Caenorhabditis elegans: one gene and its partners. The protein of the gene in region 1 purifies or fractionates together with the protein of each later gene. This does not show direct contact. Each region holds a gene or a part of one and is shown on either strand. Other genes may lie near its edges. The genes, in order: osm-6, che-2 and dyf-11.

The links.
Region 2: the proteins of osm-6 (region 1) and che-2 purify together in Caenorhabditis elegans (affinity purification with mass spectrometry, with the first as the bait; one study listed by BioGRID). This does not show direct contact.
Region 3: the proteins of osm-6 (region 1) and dyf-11 purify together in Caenorhabditis elegans (affinity purification with mass spectrometry, with the first as the bait; one study listed by BioGRID). This does not show direct contact.

What each region holds. Positions count from the first base shown.
Region 1 is NC_003283.11:11,925,398-11,929,154, forward strand, and holds the start of osm-6 (Intraflagellar transport protein 52 C-terminal domain-containing protein), read right to left. Parts: upstream 2,050-3,757; 5' UTR 2,010-2,049; coding exon 1,980-2,009; intron 1,932-1,979; coding exon 1,816-1,931; intron 1,434-1,815; coding exon 1,346-1,433; intron 1,268-1,345; coding exon 1,147-1,267; intron 1,098-1,146; coding exon 965-1,097; intron 877-964; coding exon 735-876; intron 688-734; coding exon 601-687; intron 489-600; coding exon 369-488; intron 324-368; coding exon 214-323; intron 1-213. Other genes in the region: aman-2 (Alpha-mannosidase), read right to left, coding at 2,435-2,717, 2,769-3,519; F58H1.2 (uncharacterized protein), read left to right, coding at 3,708-3,757.
Region 2 is NC_003284.9:479,399-483,155, reverse strand, and holds the start of che-2 (WD_REPEATS_REGION domain-containing protein), read right to left. Parts: upstream 1,707-3,757; 5' UTR 1,706-1,706; coding exon 1,542-1,705; intron 592-1,541; coding exon 503-591; intron 408-502; coding exon 297-407; intron 245-296; coding exon 1-244.
Region 3 is NC_003284.9:762,008-765,764, reverse strand, and holds the start of dyf-11 (TRAF3-interacting protein 1), read right to left. Parts: upstream 2,014-3,757; 5' UTR 1,997-2,013; coding exon 1,856-1,996; intron 1,627-1,855; coding exon 1,468-1,626; intron 1,087-1,467; coding exon 940-1,086; intron 884-939; coding exon 420-883; intron 184-419; coding exon 54-183; intron 4-53; coding exon 1-3.

The DNA of each region.
Region 1 (3,757 bases):
GGTAGTTGTTAAAGTCGCACGCTCTTTTCCGTACTTTATTCGTAAATAATTTGATCGTGTCGAGACCAGCTACCGTATTTTCAGGAAAACATCGCAAAGTTGGTGATTGGGTAAAACCGTGTTTCCATTTTCGAAAGCATGATTCTTGAATCTTTTTCTTAGTAATAACAAACATATTTCTGTAGTCAGGGGAAAGTATTTAGGGCACAGTACCTTATAGTCATTGGCCAATGTTTCAAATTAAAAGAATGCAACGAAGTATCCATAATCTTCATGAAATCCGAACTGATTGCCTGATCCAATTCTCCTTCGTACATACAAACCTGTTTGTTAGTTTGTCTAGAAAGTATAATTTTTTGAAGTCAAACCTTGATCTGCTGGGACATATGAATATGATCTGGAATATTTGTGTAATCATTAATTTCCGGCTCTGCAGCATCTATCGTGTTCAGTTCAAGACCATTGACCAGGAATTCCACAAATGTATCCTGAAATTGAAATTTTCCAATAAGGCGAGTTAAGAGGCGGGTGGGAGGCGCATCCTGCACGCCTCAACCAACCGGGGAAGTTTATTTCGAACCATATCAAAAATACACTTACAAAAATCTTTCCATTTTCTTCCTTATCGATGTATGTGTCATGAAACATCGAGACTGATCCAACCACACACACTCTACCTTTCTTTTTCTGAAAATAATATGAATTAATGTACCAATTTCAGAATATTCTAATACCATTTCATTGAGTTTTGTCTCATGAAAAGCGGCAACTGGGCGACTTGTTGGAAAACTTGTACTTCCAGAAGACAATACTACATTCGACATACGATTATTCACATCTAGAGTACATCCATATGGATAAATGAATGAAAGTGCTCTGAAATATTGAAATCACTTTTTTATTTTTGGAAAATCGGAAACCGAATTTTGTCCTAAATAAATAAAAAGCTAATAGTTCAACTCACTGTGAATTATGTTTTTGCTCAGTGCTCACATTCTTTTTTGCAGCCACTGCAATTGCTCGATTTATGACTCCATTTGCTACTAAAGCTTCTTTCGGATCAAAATATTTCAGGAATACAGTACGAATTACCGAATCTTGAATGTTGATGATTTTTGTAATTCATTTAATTTGATAAAGACATACCCTTATTCACAGTAATTCCATATTTTGCAATCATTTCATTTAATGATTGTCTCTCACCACCTTCACCAGAAAGGATCATCAATGAACCACCTTCTTCCACAAACTTCCATATTGCTTCAATCTTAAATTTTAATTTTTTGGGTGTTAAAATTAGGCTGAGACAATCAAATGAAATTTAATAAAATTTAAAATCCTAAACCTCTCCAGTTCCAAATGATGTCTTTGGTTGTGGAATGATAAGCATCCGAACATCTTCTAATCCATTTAAGTTAATTGGTTCTGTGTTTCTGAATTTAAAAATTATTATCTATCTGCGAGAGAAATTCAAATTTGGCAAAAATTACGGTAGCAGGTCTCGACGCGAGCAAAACAATTCCGCGCAAAGGATTGCTCGACTTCGAGGAGTACTGTAGTTTCCAATATTTTGTTTTTTTCGTTTTATTTTTTATTTTTTAAATAGCAGCTTAATTTGTTCAGTATAATTTGAATATTTATTCCAAAGAATTCAAAATAAGAAAATGAGAAACAAAAATACAAGAAACCTGCTTCTTCGCAGGATCCGATTTTAATTCGTTTCGAGACCGGGTATCGTATTCTTTCATCATAAATCGTAAATCTTTCAACTATGTATTTAATGTATAAAATGTTAAATATTCCAAAAAAGCTCACATTTCAACAGTAAGAACACTTTTTAAATGTCTTGCCACACCACGAAAACCACTAATCAAACTAATTTGTTGCTGTTTTGATTGATCAATCAGAACTTTTCTCCCAATACTCCGGTTCTGGAAAATGGAAATAATAAAATGCGAAAACTAAAATCTAATACTTACAGTCATCTTTTCGTCTGAAAATGGAGGCATAGATGTATACTAATGAAGGTAATAGCTTGAAAGAGATATAAGCCCCAAGAGAGGGAGCAGACAATGTGAGCGAGAAGCAATGAGTGGTTACTATGGTAACATGTGGATACAAATCTTGGAAGGGTCTCCTGGGAAAGGAACTACTAGAGAAATATATAGTTAACTTTGTTTTCTGAAATTTAATGAATTCCGTAATAGACTCCTAATTATTAAAAATGCAATTTCATTTTTGAAGTTTGATGAAAGATGTAATTAATTTTATAACAATTTATTTGGAACGAAAAAAATTTTACATGAAAACCGGAAGTGTGAAATCGTTGTTTCATAATTACATCGTCTTATACAAGATTATAGTTAATAAATAAATACCCATGAAATGTAATGAAAACTGAAAATATAACTACTACATATAAGCAATTATAAAATTAAAATGATACAAGAATACTGGAAATATCGTTTGGTTGGAGTCGGAATTGTTCAGCCTTGTTTCCTTCATAAAGATTGGTTAGTGACGTTTTTTTCGCAGACTTCAGTGTCGAGATCAATTTGAGTGGCTCAATTTCTAATCCAGTAGCTAAGCATGACGTGTCTGGGAGGGTAAGCCTGGATCTACAGTCTGGAACAACTCTATGCATCACCATCGCTGCTTTCTTCTCAGCTGCCGTAGATCTTTCGTTGGCTTCGTAAGTTGTCGGCGATGCCAGTGTTCTGAAAATGATTAAAGATGAGGGTTACTGTAGATTTCAGATTTTTTAACACCTAAATGTCACTAGATGCAGGTCACAGTTCAGCTCTTGTTCCACATTTTTCGAAGAAATAGATTTTGGTGTTGCATCTCCAATCATTTTGACAAGAGGATAATGAAGAGACCACGTAGCGAGATGACCAACATGTGAATGGAATCCAACTCGTTCTTCCTTCTTATTACCACTCGATGAAGACATCGGCTCAATAACAATACGGAAATGTGCAACTGTTCGTTTGTTGTCTCTAACTCCTTGCTGAAGACCTCTGTTGTCATCTGAACTAAGTCGTCGATCAAGCATTATTTCAATTTGTCCCGACGAGAGACTGCTAACTCCGAGAGCCTGTGCCGAATGAATTGACATTCTGGTAGTATCGTCTTCAATGTAAACACCAGCAGACATGGGATAGAAATTGGCCTGTGTTGGTAATTTAGTTTGTCGTCTCCTTTTTATCATTTGCATTCCATTGAGATCAGTGAAAAACTCATCACCACTATTTACTGAAGAACTGAATCTCAGTGCCAACTCGAAATTCTCCTTGGAACGTACATCAACTTCATTATCCAAATCAATCCATGGAAGCCCTTGATAAAGTGTGTACGTTTGCAATATTTTCAGATCATTGTTTGGAGTTGCAAACACTTTTTGAACAACTTCTCCTTTTACCAATATCCAATCACTTGATTGTTTTTTGAGTTCTCTAGCTTCTCCATCGGGAAGGAACAGGTATGCGCCAGCCGGGTTGTCTTCATTTCCATTTGCGACTGAAAGAAAAACATTTTTAAAGCGAACAAAAGATTTGGAGGAAAAGCCTAGATTTTGAAGGGATGAGAAGTGAGAGAGTGAAGAGGAGTGAAGAACGGATGCATCTCTTGACCCAAATCGCCTTATTTCAATCACTTGTTTATCATGTCAACGGCTGATTTGTATCATTTCGCGCTTCTACGCAGGAATGGTGATGTTCTATGCAGCTGCAGTTATTCTAGCTGTATCCGCAGTTTC
Region 2 (3,757 bases), on another chromosome or scaffold:
GTCACTATCAAATCCGAAGTTGGATTCCAGTCGCAACACAAAATGATTCCATCATGGGCTTTCCATTTTATCGGAGCAACTTGCATTTTCAACGATTTGATATAACAATGGTCAGCGTTACAGTACAAAACATTGGAAGACGTAGAGTCCCATGCCACACAGTAAACGGCTGTTGCAAATTGAGCCAGCACTGAACGCAGCATTCCACTCCGCGACCACATTTTCACAAACCCATCTTCTCCGCCTGCAACTGACTTTCTTTATATACTTTTTTGAAATTTTAGTATTGAACCCACTTGACAACAATCCAGTCCCATCAGAATTCCATCGAGCACAGAGAGCTGCTCCGTTGTGAGCATCTACCATGTTTTCAACTTTTCCGTTTCGCGAAAGTATGTTTATCTTTCCTGAAATTCATTTTCGGTGTTTATGGGTTTGAAACAAAACCCATACGTATACATTTTCGTTAAGAATGAAAAAAAAATACAAAAGAAAAACTTACCATCAGAAGTTGAAACTGCAAACACATCATTTTGACCACCTTTAGTTTGGGAACGTGGAAAAATATGAAGACTCGTGGGGAAGAAAGTTCTGGAATATAAAATTCTGATTTTTTAAAATTCTTTGATTGAAGTTTTTGTTTTTGCTGCAGTTCTAATTGTCAGACCACAAAAGCTGCAACATTCTATTGCATTGAGCTAATTAATTGCAGCTGAGAAAATCGGTCAAATTTAGTCAGTTGATATGAAATCGTAATCATTTTATTGTAATTAAAAGTAAATTAGATTTTTTGTTATAAAAATTAAAATATATACATATGTATGTACATACTTAAAGGTGGGGTACGGAAATCTGGGAAATATTTTTAAATGACTCCAAATTTGCCTATGGTTCCAAATATCAATGTGAAAAATTCAAAAAAAAATCCCTGATTTTATATTTGAGCTTTAAATCACACATTTCATGTGTGCCCCGGTTTCTTTTTCAAATAGGCACAGAAATAAATAATCCTCTGAGCGCGTTTGCCTTATATGATTTTCTCCATATATTTTTTCCTTGTTTATTAATATGAACACTTAATTTTTCCATTTCCTTTCGAAATATGAGACGATGAAATTTTAAGCTAAATTTTAATATTTTAAATGCTTATAACTACAGGAGTACGCAACATATCAAATGGAATTTTTGTGTTATTCTTAACATTTTGTCAATTGATTTTTTTGTACCTTTGAAGTCCATCGAGATATGAAGCTTCAAAAACAATGACATTTTAACCTAAATACGCATTCGGAGGACAACATTTGTCTTAGCATCAATTTGGGCAAGGTTTTATTTTGAATTCGATATGAGCATTGTATTAGCTTTCAGAAAATATATAATTCGTCCCATAACTCTTTTGTCACCAAAAAAGAGTCCCTAGTTAAATATTGTGAACCAGGGGCAAATTTGGAATCAATTAAAAATATTTCCTAGATTTCGGTACCCCACCTTTAATTTAGAGTAGTCGCATTTCGCCTCGCAATGATGAAAAAAAAACTCACTCCGGCATATTCAAAATTTGTTGAGATTCATTTGTGGCGGTATTTGTTAGCAGAAAAACATGATCATCGGCTGCCGACAATATGGCCTCGGTGCCTATCCATCCCACCCCACAAACCATTTCTGTGTGGCGTGTTTTCCGAGACGCCGATAGTTTTAATTTCATTCTGCAAAGTTGAAAGCCTGAATTGTAGAAAATAATTGATTAGCCCAAATCTCTGAGGGTTCATTAACGAAAAACCAAAAACGTATTGCAAACACTAGCTGAGCCATGCGCGAGCAGTCACCATGACAACCAGCTGGCAGCAATTCAGAGAGCTGCGGCAAGACGGGAGGAGAAGGAACTAATAGTAGAGTACCACCGCAGGTGTACATCAACAAAGAATCTGGTGAGATGAGGGAGATTCAAATTTTTGTCTGTTTAAATAAAATTTCAATAAAGAAAAAATTGAAACAGACATGGAAGACAAAACTGAGAATTTTTTTGTTGCTTTTTATCTAAATTACATTTGACGGTACTAGGCATACGCCACTGTTCGGGAGATTTCTACGATTACTCGGTTCCGCTTAAGACCCGAAATTCTGTAGTACTTGAAAAATAACTTGGTGTACATTGTTCGAGCTACTGCTCGTAATGCCTATTGATCATCGGATCATTATTGGGGAGCAAATCCTGTTTATTTCTGAAGGTTGAGAGCTAGATGCAGTTAAAAATGTATACCTAAATGTGAATGCAATCTTTGAAATAATCTGTTTATTCTGTACAATGTTGACAGAGTCAATTAGAAATTGCACTTTTCATCTGGACCAAGGGTGGGCGGCAAACAATTTTTCCGGTAAATCAGCAAATCGTCAAACTTCGAGAATTGAAATTTCCGGCAAATTGCGGTTTTGCACTTTTTTTTTTTTGGAATTTCGGAATTTCAATTTTAATCGACAACATTGTAGGCATCCTATAAATGTTTCCACATCTATTTTGAAAAGTAAAAAAATTTATGAAAAATTGAGAAAAGACGTTAAAAAATTCACAGAAAGGCACAGTGTCTTATAAAAAAATCCCCCTAGACATTTCCGGCAAATCAGCAGTCTGCCGAAAATAAAAATTTCCGCCAAATTGGCAAATCGGCATGTTGCCGAAAATGAAATTTCACGGCAAGTCGGCAAACTGGCAAGTTGCCGGAATTAAAAACATCCGGCAAATCAGCAAACCGGCAATTTGGTGATTTGCCGCAAAAAAATTGCCAAACGGAAATTGACGCCCACCCCTGATCTGGACATAAATAATGCTTGTTGGTGAAAAAAATGCGTGTTCTAGCTGTTTGATAAAATTTAGGACATTTGAAAGTTTTTTGTCTAAATATTTGGACTGGGTGTCAAGTTTGAATCAAAATAAAAACTTCCGATTATACCACGAAAATAATGTTTTCTAAATTTGTTAAAGTGGATTTAATAAAACATCAAAAAAATTAGATACAAGAAATAATAATTAACTACATAAATAAAGAAAATGTTCAAAAACCGAATTTCATGAAACCATTGAAAATTCTATTCTCCTACACCAAAAACGCTTTTGATGAGACGTCTCTCAAAGAATCGACATAAGGATCATAGACGTAGCTGAGAAAGCTTTCGAGTCTTTCAAACTTGAAAAAGTCTTCCTGGTAGCGCAGAATCGCAAAAAAATCTCTGCAGAAAAAAAGGTTGAAGCATTGAATGGCATTTCGGTACATATGGAGTACTCGACACTTGTTTCGGTTGTTGAAGATTTCTTGAACACGAGTTTGAATGAACTTGCGGGTGACCATTATTATAACTGAAAGTTTGTGCTTTATTTGTAGTGGTACACAGGAAAAACCTAAACACACAATGGGTGTTTGTAAAAAATTTAAACGTTTGGACAGGCCCACATTACTTTTTATAGGAGGAGTAACGGATCTGGAAATTTTAAACGAATAGACCCAAACGAGCAAATTTTGAAATAAAACGTCACGAAAACTTGAGAAAATTTCCAAAAAAAAAGAGAAAATCATTCAAAAAATTAAGTAATGTTTTTTTTTTGAAAATTATGAATTCTCGGAGTTTTTGAAAAATTCGTAATATTTGAATTTCTGTAATTTTGGAAAAATCCGTAAGTGTTGAGTTTTCAGAATTTCTGAAAAATTCGAATGCACCATTTTACAGTTTTCGTGGCGAGACTCATTCATGTGTGACACTTCTA
Region 3 (3,757 bases), on another chromosome or scaffold:
TACCTAAAGTGGTATCAAAATTGAATTAATAAACTGATTAACAATGTTATTACCACTTGTGGCGTTGAGTCAACAGTCGCAATTTGTTTCTTTTTCAGTTTTGGAGGCGCTGGCCTTGAAGCCGCGGTTCCGGGTCTTCCCATTGATGTCATAGGTCTACCACCTCCAGCACCAGTCATTGGTCTGGAATTTTCTATGTCAAAAGCTGATTAAACTGTGTGTATCATCATCTCAATCTCAGTGTAAATTTCACTTTGACAACTTATTCTAGAATTTGAAAAAATGTTGGTCAAAGAAGGAGTAAACCAACAATGTTGAAGCCAAAAATTTGCCGGATAATTCAATTTCAGAAAATTATTTAAGTGTGCACTACATTTTTTAAAATGAACTGAAGATAAACCCAATCCGTAAGAGGTTACCTTATCAACGGGGGTCTATCTTCGGGCTTGATCATTCTCGGGCTCTCACCCATCCCACTATCATCAGTTTTCAAGGGTGACGTCACTGGCTGTTGGATCAGTAGTGATTGAGCTGACAAATCAGTTTCCATATTTGATATAACAGTTGGTTCAGAAATCTCATGATCGTCATAACCCTCATCTCCATTCTCATTGTTCGGAGTATCCGGTGCATCTCCATTCACAGCAATCATTGAGTCTTGTCGTTTAAAATGCCGTTCACTCGGGTCTTTTTTGCTCTTTTTGGGTTTTTCGTCTGTTGTGCTCTTTTCCTTCTTTTTCTCCTTGCTGGACTTTTCGCTTGACTTTTCGCTAGACCTGTCACTAGACTTATGCCGTTCTTTTGAACTCGAAGACTTTTTCTTCTTCTCTTTCTCTTCTGCAGATTTTTTCTTCTCCGATTTTTCCTTCTCTTCATGCGTTTCCTTAAAATGATAAAACTGAGTTTATGGGGAAACAAATATTTAAAAGTGCACTCTACCTTCTTACTGCTACGTTTTTTAGTAGTTGACTTCTCTTCTTCATCTCCCTTTTTGTCCTCTTTCTTTACTTTTTTCTTCTTTTTCTCCTCTCCGGTACCATTCCTTGAATTGAAACTCGTAGCATTTGTTCCCAACATTTGCAGCATCTGAATAAATGTAAAAGGTAAAAAAAGCACTAAGAACTGAGACGAGCGAAAGCAATGGCTAACTTGGTGTAGCACTGACCAATCTGGTAATGCACTGACCAAGTTGAAAACGGCTTAAATACTTTATCTTACTATTAAGCATATTTTTATCACAAAAAATCAGAAAATTTAAATAGAAAAAATGATTAGGGCACTAATTTAGTTTGATATAATTTACGGAAGAAATCGAATTTTTTTTTTAAGTTAAAAAAAAATTTCTGATTGACCAGATTTTTTAAAATTTGATTGAAGCGACTTCACATCGAATTGTAAATTCTGTTTAAAATTCTGCGCCTTCTTTTTTCATTACAGATATTTCTTGTTAATAGAATGTAAACTCACTTTGTTGGTTTCTTCCGCGTCCTTCCCCGATATTATTTTGGCGGCTTTGACGTTTTTGAGACTTCCGTCATCTAGAATCTTGATCAGCTTGTCAAGAAAGGCAGTTTTGGTGTTTTTGTCGTTGCCAGCGGACTTTATTTCATCGTCGGTGAAGTCAGTCTGTTAAAATGAAAATTTAGCGAAAATTTATGCGCTGACCAAGTTGGCACAGCACTGAGTAACTTGGCACAGCACTGACCAAAAACTTCGCATCACTGACAAACGAAAACTTTAAAACTAAAGTTGGGCACTGGTTTTTTCTCTTTTTTTCTCATACCACATTACATTTCTTAAAATCTACATTTTCGCGCATAATTTTTTATTATGAATAAAATTTTCAAATACCCACCTTCAAATACCCCGTAGACTTTATCACATTGCTAACTATATCAACAATAAATTTGAATGGTGGTCGTGAAAGCAGTTGATCAGTTAGTTGTGGTTTTTGAATTACTTTCTCAAGAATTTCCCGAGTTTCCTCAACGCTCATCGCACTTTTACTGCAAAAATCTCATTACAAGTTGCGAAAAACATGAAATACATGAAAAACAATATTAAGGTGAAAAATGCTGACAAAAAAGAGGAATGAAACAGCGGTAATACACGCAAGAGAGAGAGAGCACGCTAATATCAGGTGGCGCTGTGTGGCGAGTTGTTGAGGCAGGGGGCACGTTGTCATGGAGACCACCTTACGCGCAAAGAGTGCGTGAGACGATGAGAGCAGCAGAATAATGTGTCTTAGTTGAGGTATTTTGTGACTGATTACAATTCTTTAATTTTCGCACAATATATTGTATTTTTTTCTGATTATATAATACGTCAGAAAAATGGGTGAAAACAAAGAAGAAAGTAGACTGGAATGTTATAAATGGTGGTCAAATTGCGACCAGTACAAGAAATCGTGGAAAATTTTGTTTTTAGCAGATTTACATATATTATGAAAATCACATCGAAACTTTTAGGAAAACAATCTTCATCTAACAATATAATTTTTTCATTGACTCGTTCTTAGCTCTATAAAAACAAAGTAGAAGCTTCTCATGTAGATCAAAAATTATGATTTAATGTTCAGAGGTTTCCCGCGATTGTGGAAATCAAATAGAAATAATCCTTTATTTAAATATACACTGTTTTTATTTGATAAAAACATAAACAAATTGTTTATAAGCCGAATGCTAACATTTATTGTAGAGATATGTTTAAATTTATAATTTCCTGTTTAATATTGAGGTACTTATAACTTTCGTTTAAAAAAAAACATAAGTTCCAAAATCTAGAATAGTAGGCAAAAACGTGAAATAGGCTATATGAACGAAACGTAAAAAATGTCATTTGTTTAAGGCAGCTGAAATTGAATATGACGTCATTTGTAGTAGGCGTTAGAAAAATATATAGTTACAAGTATACTAGACTACTTATTTAAAAAAAAACAAACTAATTTGGTCAATAATTCTAATTTTTATTTATCTTTTTATATGGACAAACATAATAATACAATCCATTTTTTTTTCTACTTTCTTGTGGTTATGGGTATTTAGATTGTCCCATCTTAGGTTGACCTCTGGAAATTAGGGCGCCACATGGCTTTAATGCTTTGACGCCACGATGATTTTTTAAATGAAAATTGCACTATGTAAAAATTTGTGACGTCATATTTTATGAATTTTTGAATCCACGTATTGCCACGATTTCAGAGACCAACAAAAAAAGGGAACACGCTAATTACTCGTGTGTGCTACGTTGTGGTCTACTTTTCAGGATTATTGGATTTTATTGAATAGTACATTTCAGCACGTTTCAAAAATTGAAGAAAAAAACCGAGAAAAGTCCGTTTTCAGTAATGAAAATTCAATTAAAAAATGAAATTTGAATCGCCATGAATTTTTAGAAAAATTTCCAGAAGGTCCATTATTTTTTAGAAAGAGGTTCATTTTTGAAAAATATTTGAAAACTTTCTGTATATAGAAAACTATCAACAAAATATAAAGAAATCAATCACAATAAGCATATATATGTACAAAAAACAATAAGATTGAATTTCCGCAAAACATCATTCGCGCGCGAAACTAACTCAAATTCGGGTATGTACATTCAGCCATAATTGTCAATGTGAACGGGGGTTTCCCGTTTTTCTTATATTATATTTCCCAGCTTCAGCACCTGAAATAAATTGTTTGATATTTTCTTCGTTGAAGAGACTTCATATTTGAAATTACATATTGAATATCCAAAATCTTCGGAAACCCCCAGA